2 linked regions of the Rattus norvegicus genome follow. The protein of the gene in region 1 binds, or shares a complex with, the protein of each later gene. Links are inferred from orthologs where the notes say so. Each region holds a gene or a part of one and is shown on either strand. Other genes may lie near its edges.

Region 1 (5,474 bases):
ATAGTCAACCAAACACTTGGAGTTAAGCTGCCTTTGTGACACCAAGCGCATGGAGGGACCCCAACAAACCCTCCAGTTCCCCAGGAAGCCGTTGCTCAGAGATGTCAGCAGTGGGGGGAAGGGGAGACTCTGGAGGGCAGTGCTCCAATCTGTAAAGCTGCTCCCCTGGGCCAGCATGGCAGGAAGGACAGCTTATGTGGAGTGCGCAGAGGAAGGCCAGTGAACAGGGTGACTGCAGGGCCACCTGGCTGTGGTTTCGTGGACACTTGGATGTGTGGTTAGCACCCAAAGGAAAGATGTCACCAAGATTAGATTCGATGGATGGGATCAAAATTCTGAAAAAGGGGGTTCTCTCAAGAGCACCCCTCAGATGGTGCCTGGTGTTAAGATCAGAACAGACAGCAGCCTCCACACTAACCTTCCCTAGGGTGGCACTGTAGGGGTCAGAGAGTGAAGGCACCAAGGATCTGTTTCTCCTGCCTGCTGTGCTGGGACAATGGTCTGTCTCCATGAGCTCTGCCAGCAACTCCGCCGAGACCCTCAGGGCAAGGGCAGAGAAAGGACAGGGGCCTTGCTGGGTGGCAGTGGCAGGTGAGAGAACTCAGTTTTCATCTGCACAGATGCTAAGGCCAAAGAAAGTGAGGCTGCCCCGTGTTGTATGATGCCTGATGGCCATGCAGGGGTTAAAGGCTGGGCTTCATGGATGTACCTTAGAGTTTTTCACAAGTTCTGTCCCTCATACAGGACACCACAGGCATACATACTACCTCCTAGGTATTCCAACATGATGTTGTCATTGTCATTATTATTATTGTTGTTATTATTATTATTGTTATTATTATACTGAAAACTACACAGTCAGGGTGCTGCCTATTATATTTGTTTTTGAGAAGAGATCAGTGGGTTCGGAATCCTCGGATGGAGAGCCAGTGAGTGACACAGTTAGCATGCAAGTCCCTCTCCGAGTTTGCTGGTCCAGAGTCATCAGGTCATGAGTCAGGTTATTGAATCTATCGTGTAGGGCTTGTACAGTCTCCTTAGGTTCTCGTCCACCATCCACTCTCTGTCCATTCGATTCTGACCATTCTCTTCATGACGAAACCCCAGGGCTGACTCCTAGGAGCCCATCAAGCAAGTACTTCCCTTGTAACCCACTCCCCCGGACATGAGCCCTGGGAGCCATGAGAGAAGACGCTGTCACTCACCGGGCGAGGACGTGTCTCCCTGAGGAAGGACTTGAGGTCTCCACCAGCCATGAGCTCCAGCAGGATGAAGCGGGGCAGGGCTTGCAGACTCACCCCGATGCAGCGGACAATGTTCTGGTGGTTGAATTTACTACAGGGCAGAGGGCATAATCGAATTTAACGAAGCCAGGTCTGGGACCATCAAGAAAAGCAGGGCAGAGAGTCATGGTTTCAGCAACCATGCCATGACGCTATATTCTATAAATATGGGTAAATATTCTATAAATAGGGGTCTCTGGTTGAACTTGAAGTAAACCTCCCTGGAGAGATGCATACATTGAGCAGGCTTGGCAGGAGCTGAATTAACAGGGAAGGATTCTGTTGGAGTCAGAGGACTTTGAGGTGACAAAGTACATGTATGTGTACTTTGCATGTGTGAGTGTGTGCATGCCCCGTGTGTGCACATGTGTGTATATTTGCATGTGTTTGGTGTATGTTTATATGTGTGCATGTGTTTGTATGTGTTTGTGTGTATGCATGTGTACACATATTTATATGTATGTATGTGTTTGTGCATGTGTGTGTGTATGCGAGTGTTTGCATGTGTACAGATGTTTTTAGAGTTTGCCTGTGTGAGCACTGCTACATGAATTTATACCTGAATTCTCTAAGGAAGGTCTCAGGCAGAAGTTGGAGGAGTGGCTTCTGAAAGGGAGATCGTGTGACCTGTGTGGTGACAGTCTGTGACAGAGTGTCAGGGGGAGAGATGGCCCACTGATCTCCATAGTCTTCTGAAGACTCCACATGGGCAGGGACTGATTAGGACCCAAGGTCCTGAGATTTGGTTTATCTTGTCATTTTAGGATATGCAGAACAGTGGGGCTAGGAAACCCCAGATGGACACACACACACACACACACACACACACACACACACACACACACACTCTGAGTTGAAAGACTGGTGATTATATGCTGAAATATATCCATTTATTACTACCTAGTAGGAATACTACATGATTAAGCTCTCCTTCTATGTAATCTTATACGTTTTAGGTTTTATTTATTACTCTTATATGACATATATAACTAGAAAATAAATATTATTTTTTAAAGCAAAGTGCTATCCTGGCAGTGTGTCTTCCACACGTTCCAGAGCCTATAAATGTATCACTCAGACAGCTTTTGGCTGTATTCTTGCTGCTTCAACCTGGACCACTCCAGGCCACCTCCCCGGGTCAGGATGTTTGGAGGCATCATAGCGCCAGAGACATCTGTGAGCCTCCTTCAGGTCACAAGGACAACTGTCTGCCTCCTCCTTCAAGAGACCTGAATTGCTACCCCCAGGAAGTTCCTGGTTTCAATGCAGGCCTGCCTTATCTGTTAGGGTGCAGCCCTTGTCATTGTCGATGTGGGGTATGGTGGTCGGCTATCTTTCATTGGTTTCCTTACTCTATGTCCAAGGACCTCAGCTCTGGAAGAGTCACTTGGGGGGGGATGGGGTGGGAGATACCATCTAATGCAAGAATGCTTCCTTAAGTGAGGAATGGGAGCCAATGGCTGGCACTAGGAAGCTGGGGAGGCATGGTGCTATCAGTAATTAGGCCACTCAGATCCTTCCTGAGATAATCATGGGCGGTTGCTCCACTTCAGGGGTCCTTCCCGTGGTTGTGTGGGTAGGGGGATGTTGGGACCAACATATATCCAGTTTCCTCTAAAGATCCCCATCCATTAGAAAGATCTTTCTATGCCTTGAGGGGTCGGGGGAGAGGCTGGGCCTCTGTGCCTTTACCTGATGATCAGAGCTTCCATGAGGAAGTCCAGCTCATCTTGCTCTGAACACACTTCCGGCAGCGTCTGGAAGGTAGGGTGGGAGGAGAAGGTGGCTGTGAGCTGTGGCTGTAGCCCACAGGGACCTCAGGCTAAGGCTAGGCGGAAGGTGGAGCCACCCCTCACCTTTACAGCCACTTGTAGAGGGCTTGGGTCATTGGGCATTCCAGATACCTGGCCTTCATACACCTCCCCAAATGCGCCATGGCCTAGGCCCCTGTACCAAGAAGACAAGACAAGTCACAGTTAAGTGAGCCACAGGCAGCTGGGGACCTGGAGATCAGTGTCACATTCAGTGTACACACACAAGAGGAAGGGTGACCACTCGGGAGTTACACCTTCAGCTTGGCTTCACTATGTCACCCTGGCCTCCATTTCTCTTCTCTTCTTTCTTTCCTTTCTTATTTAAATTACCTTATTTTATTTTTTAAACTGAAAGTGAGTATATTTTCATACAATTTATTCATATTATGGTTTCCCCTTCCCTAACTCCTCCCAGATCACCCACCCACCTAAAGCCACCCCCTTTATTTCTCTCATAAAAAAAGCAAAACAGGAATCTAACGTAACAACAACAACAACAACAACAACAACAATACAAAATCCAAACAAACCAGTCAGAATAGGTCAAAACAAACAGAAAACAAAACAAAAACAAAAAACCTGAAGAAACTCAGAGACACACACATTCATACACACAAATCTAAAAACACAAAACTAAAAACCATAATGCACAAGTAAAAGACCTGTAAGGTAACAAGAAGAGGAGGAGGAAGAGGAGAAAGAAAAAGAGGAGGAGGAGGAAGAGGAAGAGGAGGAGGAAGAGGAGGAGGAAGAGGAGGAGGAAGAGGAGGAGGAGGAAGCAACAGCAGCAGCAGCAGTAGCCCAGGTAAAGCATTATGAGTTAGAAAACCTCTAAAAAATACCATCGAGTTCACTTTGTGTTAGCCACCTACTGCTGGGCATGGGGCCTGCCCTCAAGTGTGTTCGTATAGCCACCGAGAATGTTGGAGAAACTAATGTTCGCACTGTTATTGGGCCTCCATTTCTTTATCTGCTCTGGTGAGAACAGGTCTGCTAAGGTTTGAGGTTCACACGCAGAAAAGCAATCCTGACTATGAGGAGAGGAAGTGATTCAGATGAGGCAAGGTTGTTAAGGTGGAGCATCCCATGGGCGGGTCCTGGTAGCTTAGGGTGCCCACTCTGTCTTTGCAAGCAAGAAGGTCATCACCAGATACAGTCACAGACCTCGGGTTCCTAACTCTGAGACAAATCGAACCTCTTTTCTTCATAACTACCCATCCTGTGGCATTGTGTGATAGCACACAGAAAATAGATCAAACACAGGTCTAACAGGGATTCATGAAGATGATCAGATGTTTATTCTCTTAACGAAGAGTTAGTGAGTCCTTGGTGTCTGCTAGGGACAAAGGTGAGGGATGACTCATATCTGGAAGAGGGCGATACTTCTGGGAACAGGGGCAGATGATTGACAGATCCTCGCTGTGGGGTGTCGTGGTGGATGACAGAGGAAATCATGAGTTCTTTGGATGCTCAGAGAACAGAACTGGGGCCAGGAGTCTTCTGAACTTTGAGAACTTGATTTATCCTTTTCATTTCATAAATTTCGTGAACACACAGGGTGCTGAAGCAAGCAAACATTCCCATGAGCCTATGGACACTAAGCATGTCTCCCCGAGAGGCCGGGGCTGTACCCGGGGATGGCTGTTCAGGCTCCCTGTGGCTAGAGGAGGCCATGGCACAGAGAACCCAGCCCTGGGACAGAGGCAGGAAGCTCACCGGATGAGGGTGATGTTTTTCCGAGGCACCTCCTTCAGGTCACTGATGGATGAAGTCTTGCCAGCAAAGCAGTAGTTGGGGTTGTAGTCTGTCATGATGGTCGAGGTCCGTAGCTTGCTCAGCTTATACTCAGGGCTCTGCAGCTCCATCTGCATAGCTTGCAACTCCTGGTGCTTCCGGCGGTACACTGCGGACAGATGGGTGTCGGCTGTGAGGGGGTCTGGACCAGGTGAAGCTCAGCAGAGGCCACCTCTTCCAGACCTTGACCTCTCAACTTTCCCATCACCGTTAACAACACTAACAGAGTGATTGAGCGTGTCAGAGTATTCCTTCTCCATGGAGAACAAGCGTGACACTTAAAATCACCTAACTGGCATATTTTTTATTGTGTCACACAGGCACGGGGTTTTGTTAACAGACTGACAAAGCAGTTTAGGGGATAAAGGGTTTTCTTTGGCTCACAAGTCCAGGGTATAGTCCATCATTGTGGGGAAGTCAAGACAGTGAGAACCTGAAGTGGTTTGGTCACATCTAGTCAAGAGCAGAGAAGAAAGGCACGCCTGGATTCACCTCACATTCTCCCTTTTAAATGCAGTCCAGTAACCAAACCTGGGGGTTTAGGGAGGTGTTGCCACTTTTAGGGTGGGTCATCTCATGTCAC
Region 2 (5,574 bases), about 24 Mb from region 1:
AAATGGATGTTAAGCTAATAGTAATGATTTCAGGTGAATTCCCTCCAGCTTTCTGTAGGCAGTTGATTGTTGTTGTTTGTGATATCACAAAATTATTTAGTTTTAGATTAGGAACAATGTCCAATCATATAGGTTGACTTTATGTAAAGAGAATTGGAGTGACCAAGTAATATTTCAACCTACATTCAAAGTCCTTGTGAACTTACATGTATGGTCCTGAAATCAGCCTTCACTACCAGGGAGCTTAAAAGACCCACCATTCTGGTAAGCGGAGAACTGCACAGAATCCACCTTGACAATGTCATATAAAAGCTGAATGCACACTAATAATGAGTTCCTTCTTTCAAGTAAGTATTTAAAGTCTGGAAATGTTTATATTATCTGGCATGAGGAATGCTTGGAGTCGTTTTACCGAACAACTTTGCAATATTAAACACACACACAAATTATCTGACCTTTGAAAGACTTCATGCACCCAAACCAACCAAGCATACATTTTCTCTATTGTTGGTGCACATGCCTATCTATATAGTGCACTGAGTTAAGCACAATACAATTGGGTGATAGAGAGGGATCCCACGAAGACTCAATTTGTCCCACAGAAGGATAATTTCACCACTAGCAAGGTTTGTTGTGTTGGTAGAATTCGAAGGGGTAGATTCCGTTCCACTGCTGCTCTTTTGTTTCATTTCATCTCTAAAACTGAAGCTTTTTATTCTGCGAAGCGCTGTTTCAAACAGGTCTAGGCAAGTCTAAACTATAATCACAATAAGCTAGAAACTCTCTAAGTTTCCATTGCACTGTGATTAGTGATGCATAGATATTCAGATACCAGAGCATGGTGATGCTGACCTGCTGAAGGGGAAAGCAGTTGGGCAGCTGGACTCCCTCTTGCCAGAACTTCACGTCCCTTTATACACGGAGAGAGAAAAGGAGGACAGGGGAAGTACCCCATCATATCTGCTTAAGATCTGTTTCTCGTGAAATCTTCCTTTGCCTTGCATGCATTTCGTCAGGAACCTATGCCTTTCAACTTTATTGGATGCAACAAAACTAAATAAACTAGAAAAAAAAAAACCTAGACTAAACTAAAAGAAACCCAAATTCGAAAATCAAATTGCTTGCCTTTAAAGATAGACCCATCACCCAAGGGGTCCCATTTTAGGAGGGTCTCCCATAGCTACTGGTCCCACCCTATCAGGCACTTGATCTTTTAGGGAAACAGAACCAGTGAAGGGAGGGAGAAGGTGGTGGAGAGAGGAGACTGAGTTAGAACTCAAGGACCAACAGTGCAGAGCAGGGCTTGGCACACAGCGACCCCGTGGTCAACGCAGGTGAGCACCTGTAAGGCACTGCATCTTCGCAGCCGCCTGAGCAGCTGCGGGTTAAAGATCAGGGCTTTTAATGCTTGCCTTCTCCCTTTCTGATGCTCTACTAGGAACACCTTTCCCCGATGTGATCGCAGACTTGGAGGACTTCCAGCTCCTGCCCAGAAAGCACCAATGAAATGGGAAACTGTGCAGTTGGTAATACTTATCACAAGGGGAAAAGAAATCAAGCAAGTAAATTGCTGAGCCCTTGCAAATGTGCCTGGCTATTTCCAAAAGATCAAACTTTCTTAAAGATGCAGCTTGAGTGGCAAGAGCCTCGGAGCCAACCTGGCCCAGGGTCCAGCGAGGTACAGCAGTGTCGCTACTTTAAGAACCTTCGCTGACTGCTTGGGTCCCTCCAAGTGTGGGGCTTTCTGCAAGGCGCTCCTGCTTCCATCACCTTCTTCAGAAGCAGAAACCTGCCTGTGTTCAGCAGATCCCTCTTCAAATAAGTCCGGACTCTAGATGACACTCAATGTTGAGGCAATCAAGCAGCTCCTTTTAAATAGCCCAAGATCTACATTTAGACAAAAACAGATCCCAGTTCCCGGTAAAGGCGTTTCTGCTCATCCTGTCACTTGTGACAGGAACGGAGGGAAACAGACTGCCGGAGAGGGAGACAGGAGAGGCAGAGGAAGGACAAGAGAGGGGGAGACCAGACGCGGGTGGAGACGTGAGGGAGGGGCGGAGACTGAAGACTGGGCCAGGAGGGGACAAGGGAGGGGATGAGAGAGCGAGAGGCGGAGGGGCCTGACGAATATCCGCACCCCAGAGCGGCGCTCGGTGGTTCTAATTAAAGCGGCGCTCGGAACCCGGGGGACCCGCCTGACGTCGGCGGCCGCGGGGATAAGAAGCGCCCGAGGACAGCCGGACTCGGAGCAGCAGGGTGAGCGCTGTCCCCGTAGGAGCTGTGCGTCCTGTGTCCCTGCGCTGGACTAGTGGGGCTGGAGCTCGTGAAGTAGTGTCGGGACTGAAGAACCGAGGAGCGCCGCACACGCGGGACCTCCGGCGTGAGCTCAGGTGCCCGAGGGCGACGCGGGATCCACGGCGTGGGCACAGGTGCCCGAGGGCAGTGCGGGAGCCACCGCTGGCAGGTGCCCCGATCTCTCAAGTCCAGGGCGGCCCATCTGCTCCGCGGCTCCGGACCTCAGCAGCCCCGGGCGTCACCTGTGACCTCCCATCTCATCGAGGTGTCCAAAGACCCCGCGCGCCGACCCCGCGGTGAAAGAAAGTTCTGCGGCGGGCTCCGCCTGGACTCCGCGTGCGGGGAAACTTGGGCGCGGGCTGCTGGGGCGGCGGGTCCCAAGACCCGCGACACAGCCCACCAGGCCATGCGCGTGTCCGGGCGCCCGATGCTCCTTGCGTTACTGCTGCTACTGAGCACCGTGGGGGACCCGGGACATGCGCAGCCCAGGGGGCCTGCAGACCGGCAAACGCTGCTGAGGTTGCTAGTTGAGCTGGTCCAGGAGCTGAAGAAATTCCACATAGGAGACTCCAAAAGGCTGCAGCTCCTTGGCGAGTCCGACTTTGCCCTGGGCCGCAGAGAGGCCACGGATTATGGGGCAGACCAAGAAGAGCAGAGAGTGGGTGAGTGTTCCTCGGTGTAGACCCTGGTGGAGGGCTTAGAGTGGGTGAGAGTCCAGCAGTGTAGACCATAACATGAAACAGGGTTCTGGCAGCGAAGATTTGAAAGGCAGAAAGTAAGAGGTGAGTATCTGCCAGTGTAGACCTGTAGGGTCAGATTGTGGAAGAGGGAGCCCTAGCAGTGTGCATCTGAGGAGCAAAGTGGGGGAGTGCCCCGCAGCAGTGCAGACCACGAGGTACAGAAAGTTATTAAGACTGAGCTGTTGCAAGTATGGACCAGTGGGCTGCAGAGCGGATGAGGATCCAGGCAGAGTAGACTATGAGGAACAGAAAGTGAGTATCCCAGCAGTGTAGACCTGAGGGGTCCAGAATAGATGATTGGTGGGTGTCTGAAGACGCCAACCTACAAGGTAGAGAAGGAATGAAGGCCAAGGATTCGAACCACAAGGGCAGGAGGGGGTGAGGTCCTGGCAACGCAGAACTGATGGGAATGAGTCTTGGCATCTGGACCTGAGAAACCAAGGATGTGTGATTGTCCAGCAACATAGACCTAAAGAGTGAGTGGGGTCCTGCCACTGTGGGCCCTGGAAGAGTTCTAGCCTCACTGCACCGAGGAGTAAAAGTGGGTCTTGATAGTATGGATAGCAGGGCTACCTTCTGTGACTGAAAGACTCATTATATTAGTAGTTTTTTAAGAACTGTTTTTCAGAAGCGGGTTTAAAGATAAATCAACTTTTGAAATTAACAGAGGGGTGTGTGTTTGTGTGTGTGTTTGTGTGTGTGTGTGTGTGTGTGTGTGTGTGTGTGTGCCTGCATGTGTGTTGTTTGTTTTTGCTTGTTTCTCAGGAGAAACCTGGCAGAAACAAGAAACTGTGTGAGCCTGTAAGATAGCAATCCTAATCCACTTCCAAGATGTACTGGTGCCCAGTTCAGGACGCTCTGCTCCTTACAGGGGAGGGTTCCCAGCCCACCATTTCCAGCAGAGGCAGAAATGGCCAGAGCTTCCCTGATGGAGCCCTTCCCAGAGTGGCCCGTGGGAATTTCTCAGGGAAGCATACAAGCTTTTAATGCTTTCATGACACAATTAGGTCAAATATGATAGGGTCACTTTTGTGTAAACTGACTCAAATAAGGAGTGCACGAAGAAAGGCCTTGGGGAGTAGTCTCCATCTCCCTCCTGGAAGACTCCATGCCAGTGCCTCTCGTCAGCTATTGGGAAAGGGGAAGACAATATTTCTGGTAAAATACAATGTGACATTACACAATCATAGAGAAACTGCTTGCCTCATGTGGGTCAGAGACATAGAAAATGATTGAAGAGGCTGAGAAATGAGGCAAAGACAATATCCAAACTCAGAAAGAAAAATCAGGGAATCGTTGCTGGAGACCAGGTGCCCCCTGAAAGCATGATTATGAAATGGTGTGTGAAAAATCTTTCTTTAATTCCCCTCTTTGCCTTATAAACCAAGGATATATATATATATATATATATGTATATATATGTGTGTATATATATATAATCAGCCTATATATATATATATATATATATATATATATATATAATCAGCCTATCAGAAAACCGTAAAGAAACTTGATCCTTAAATGACACACTTTGGGAGTTGAACGTTCAGGTTTTACTTCTTGAACTTTTAAATGCTGTGGAATTTGATTTCAAAGTTCTTCAAAGTAAAGTGTATGCAAGCGATTCATCTACTGGAACATATAAAAAAAAGGTTTCTTTTCATCCTGTAACTTTATACCCAGAGAGAATAGACTGGTAACATTTGGAGCTTTAGGAGTAGTTAATGCTGCTTGAGAAAAAAACCATGTCCCGACCTAAGTGTCCACATTGTATTTTGTGCAACTACCAAGTGTTCTCCTATTTTATCCAGTGCATTGTAGTATGGATAATGCAATTCTCAGAATTTCCTCCACATTCACTGAACGACCACACTTCATAGGTGCTCTGTTCAAGTAATACGATTTCTCACCCCTCGTAGAGATTGTTCCTCGAGATCTAAGGATGAAGGACAAGTTTCTGAAACATCTCACAGGTGTGTGTCCCCTTCAGTCCTCTGCCCTCCCTGCTCCTTTGTGCCCTGAGTCTCTGTGACTTTCTTCCTCTGTGTTCCAGGTCCTCTTTATTTCAGTCCGAAGTGCAGCAAGCACTTCCACAGACTTTACCACAACACGCGGGACTGCACCATCCCTGCATGTAAGTGAGCATCCAGTAGACAAAACTCTGCTCTTCCTTCAGTACAGTGGGGCTGCTCTGTGACAGGGGTGGGGGCCTGAGTGTCCCCATCTGACTGGATTGGGGCAGGATGCCCAGACATGGGAGCAGGTGGCTTAGATTCTGCAGCAACCAGTGCCACTCACGATGACCCATTGGGCTTAGTCAGCTCTTGCAATGGGCTGACCCCTCTCATCCGCATCCTAATTTGTTTATGAACCCTGGCCCAAAGCCCATGTTCTATTCAGCTGAACACCACACAGGTAGGGCGAGTTGCTCAGGTGTCTGCTGGTGGTCAGTGTTGGGGTATAACCAGCCTGGCTGGCCTGAGGCTCTTTGGTCAAGCTTTTTTGGCCATCTCCATGGCTCTGGCTAGTGTGGTTTTCC

What was found. Proteins that work in one complex are often made in the same cells at the same time.
Region 2: the proteins of Alk (region 1) and Alkal2 are in contact, whole or in part, in a cryo-EM structure (PDB 9G5I), measured with the Homo sapiens proteins. The link is inferred for Rattus norvegicus from reciprocal best matches to the Homo sapiens genes ALK and ALKAL2. Residues at the interface, in NP_004295.2 of Homo sapiens: Leu684, Tyr739, His755, Ser758, Leu760, Phe856, His857, Glu859, Leu965, Tyr966, Thr967, Pro968, Leu970, Lys971, Val972, Met973, Glu974, Glu978, Asn980, Val992, Glu994, Cys995, His996, Met997, Phe1007, Asp1009; in NP_001002919.2 of Homo sapiens: Ser112, Lys113, His114, His116, Arg117, Leu118, His120, Asn121, Thr122, Arg123, Asp124, Arg133, Arg136, Leu137, Arg140, Leu141.

What each region holds. Positions count from the first base shown.
Region 1 is NC_086024.1:29,319,234-29,324,707, reverse strand, and holds part of Alk (ALK tyrosine kinase receptor precursor), read right to left. Parts: intron 5,001-5,474; coding exon 4,814-5,000; intron 3,231-4,813; coding exon 3,140-3,230; intron 3,041-3,139; coding exon 2,976-3,040; intron 1,336-2,975; coding exon 1,206-1,335; intron 1-1,205. UniProt on the Homo sapiens protein: Neuronal receptor tyrosine kinase that is essentially and transiently expressed in specific regions of the central and peripheral nervous systems and plays an important role in the genesis and differentiation of the nervous system.
Region 2 is NC_086024.1:53,221,120-53,226,693, forward strand, and holds the start of Alkal2 (ALK and LTK ligand 2 precursor), read left to right. Parts: upstream 1-2,262; 5' UTR 2,263-2,701; coding exon 2,702-2,957; intron 2,958-4,954; coding exon 4,955-5,008; intron 5,009-5,088; coding exon 5,089-5,169; intron 5,170-5,574. UniProt on the Homo sapiens protein: Cytokine that acts as a physiological ligand for receptor tyrosine kinases LTK and ALK, leading to their activation. Cytokine-binding is sufficient to activate LTK. In contrast, ALKAL2-driven activation of ALK is coupled with heparin-binding to ALK.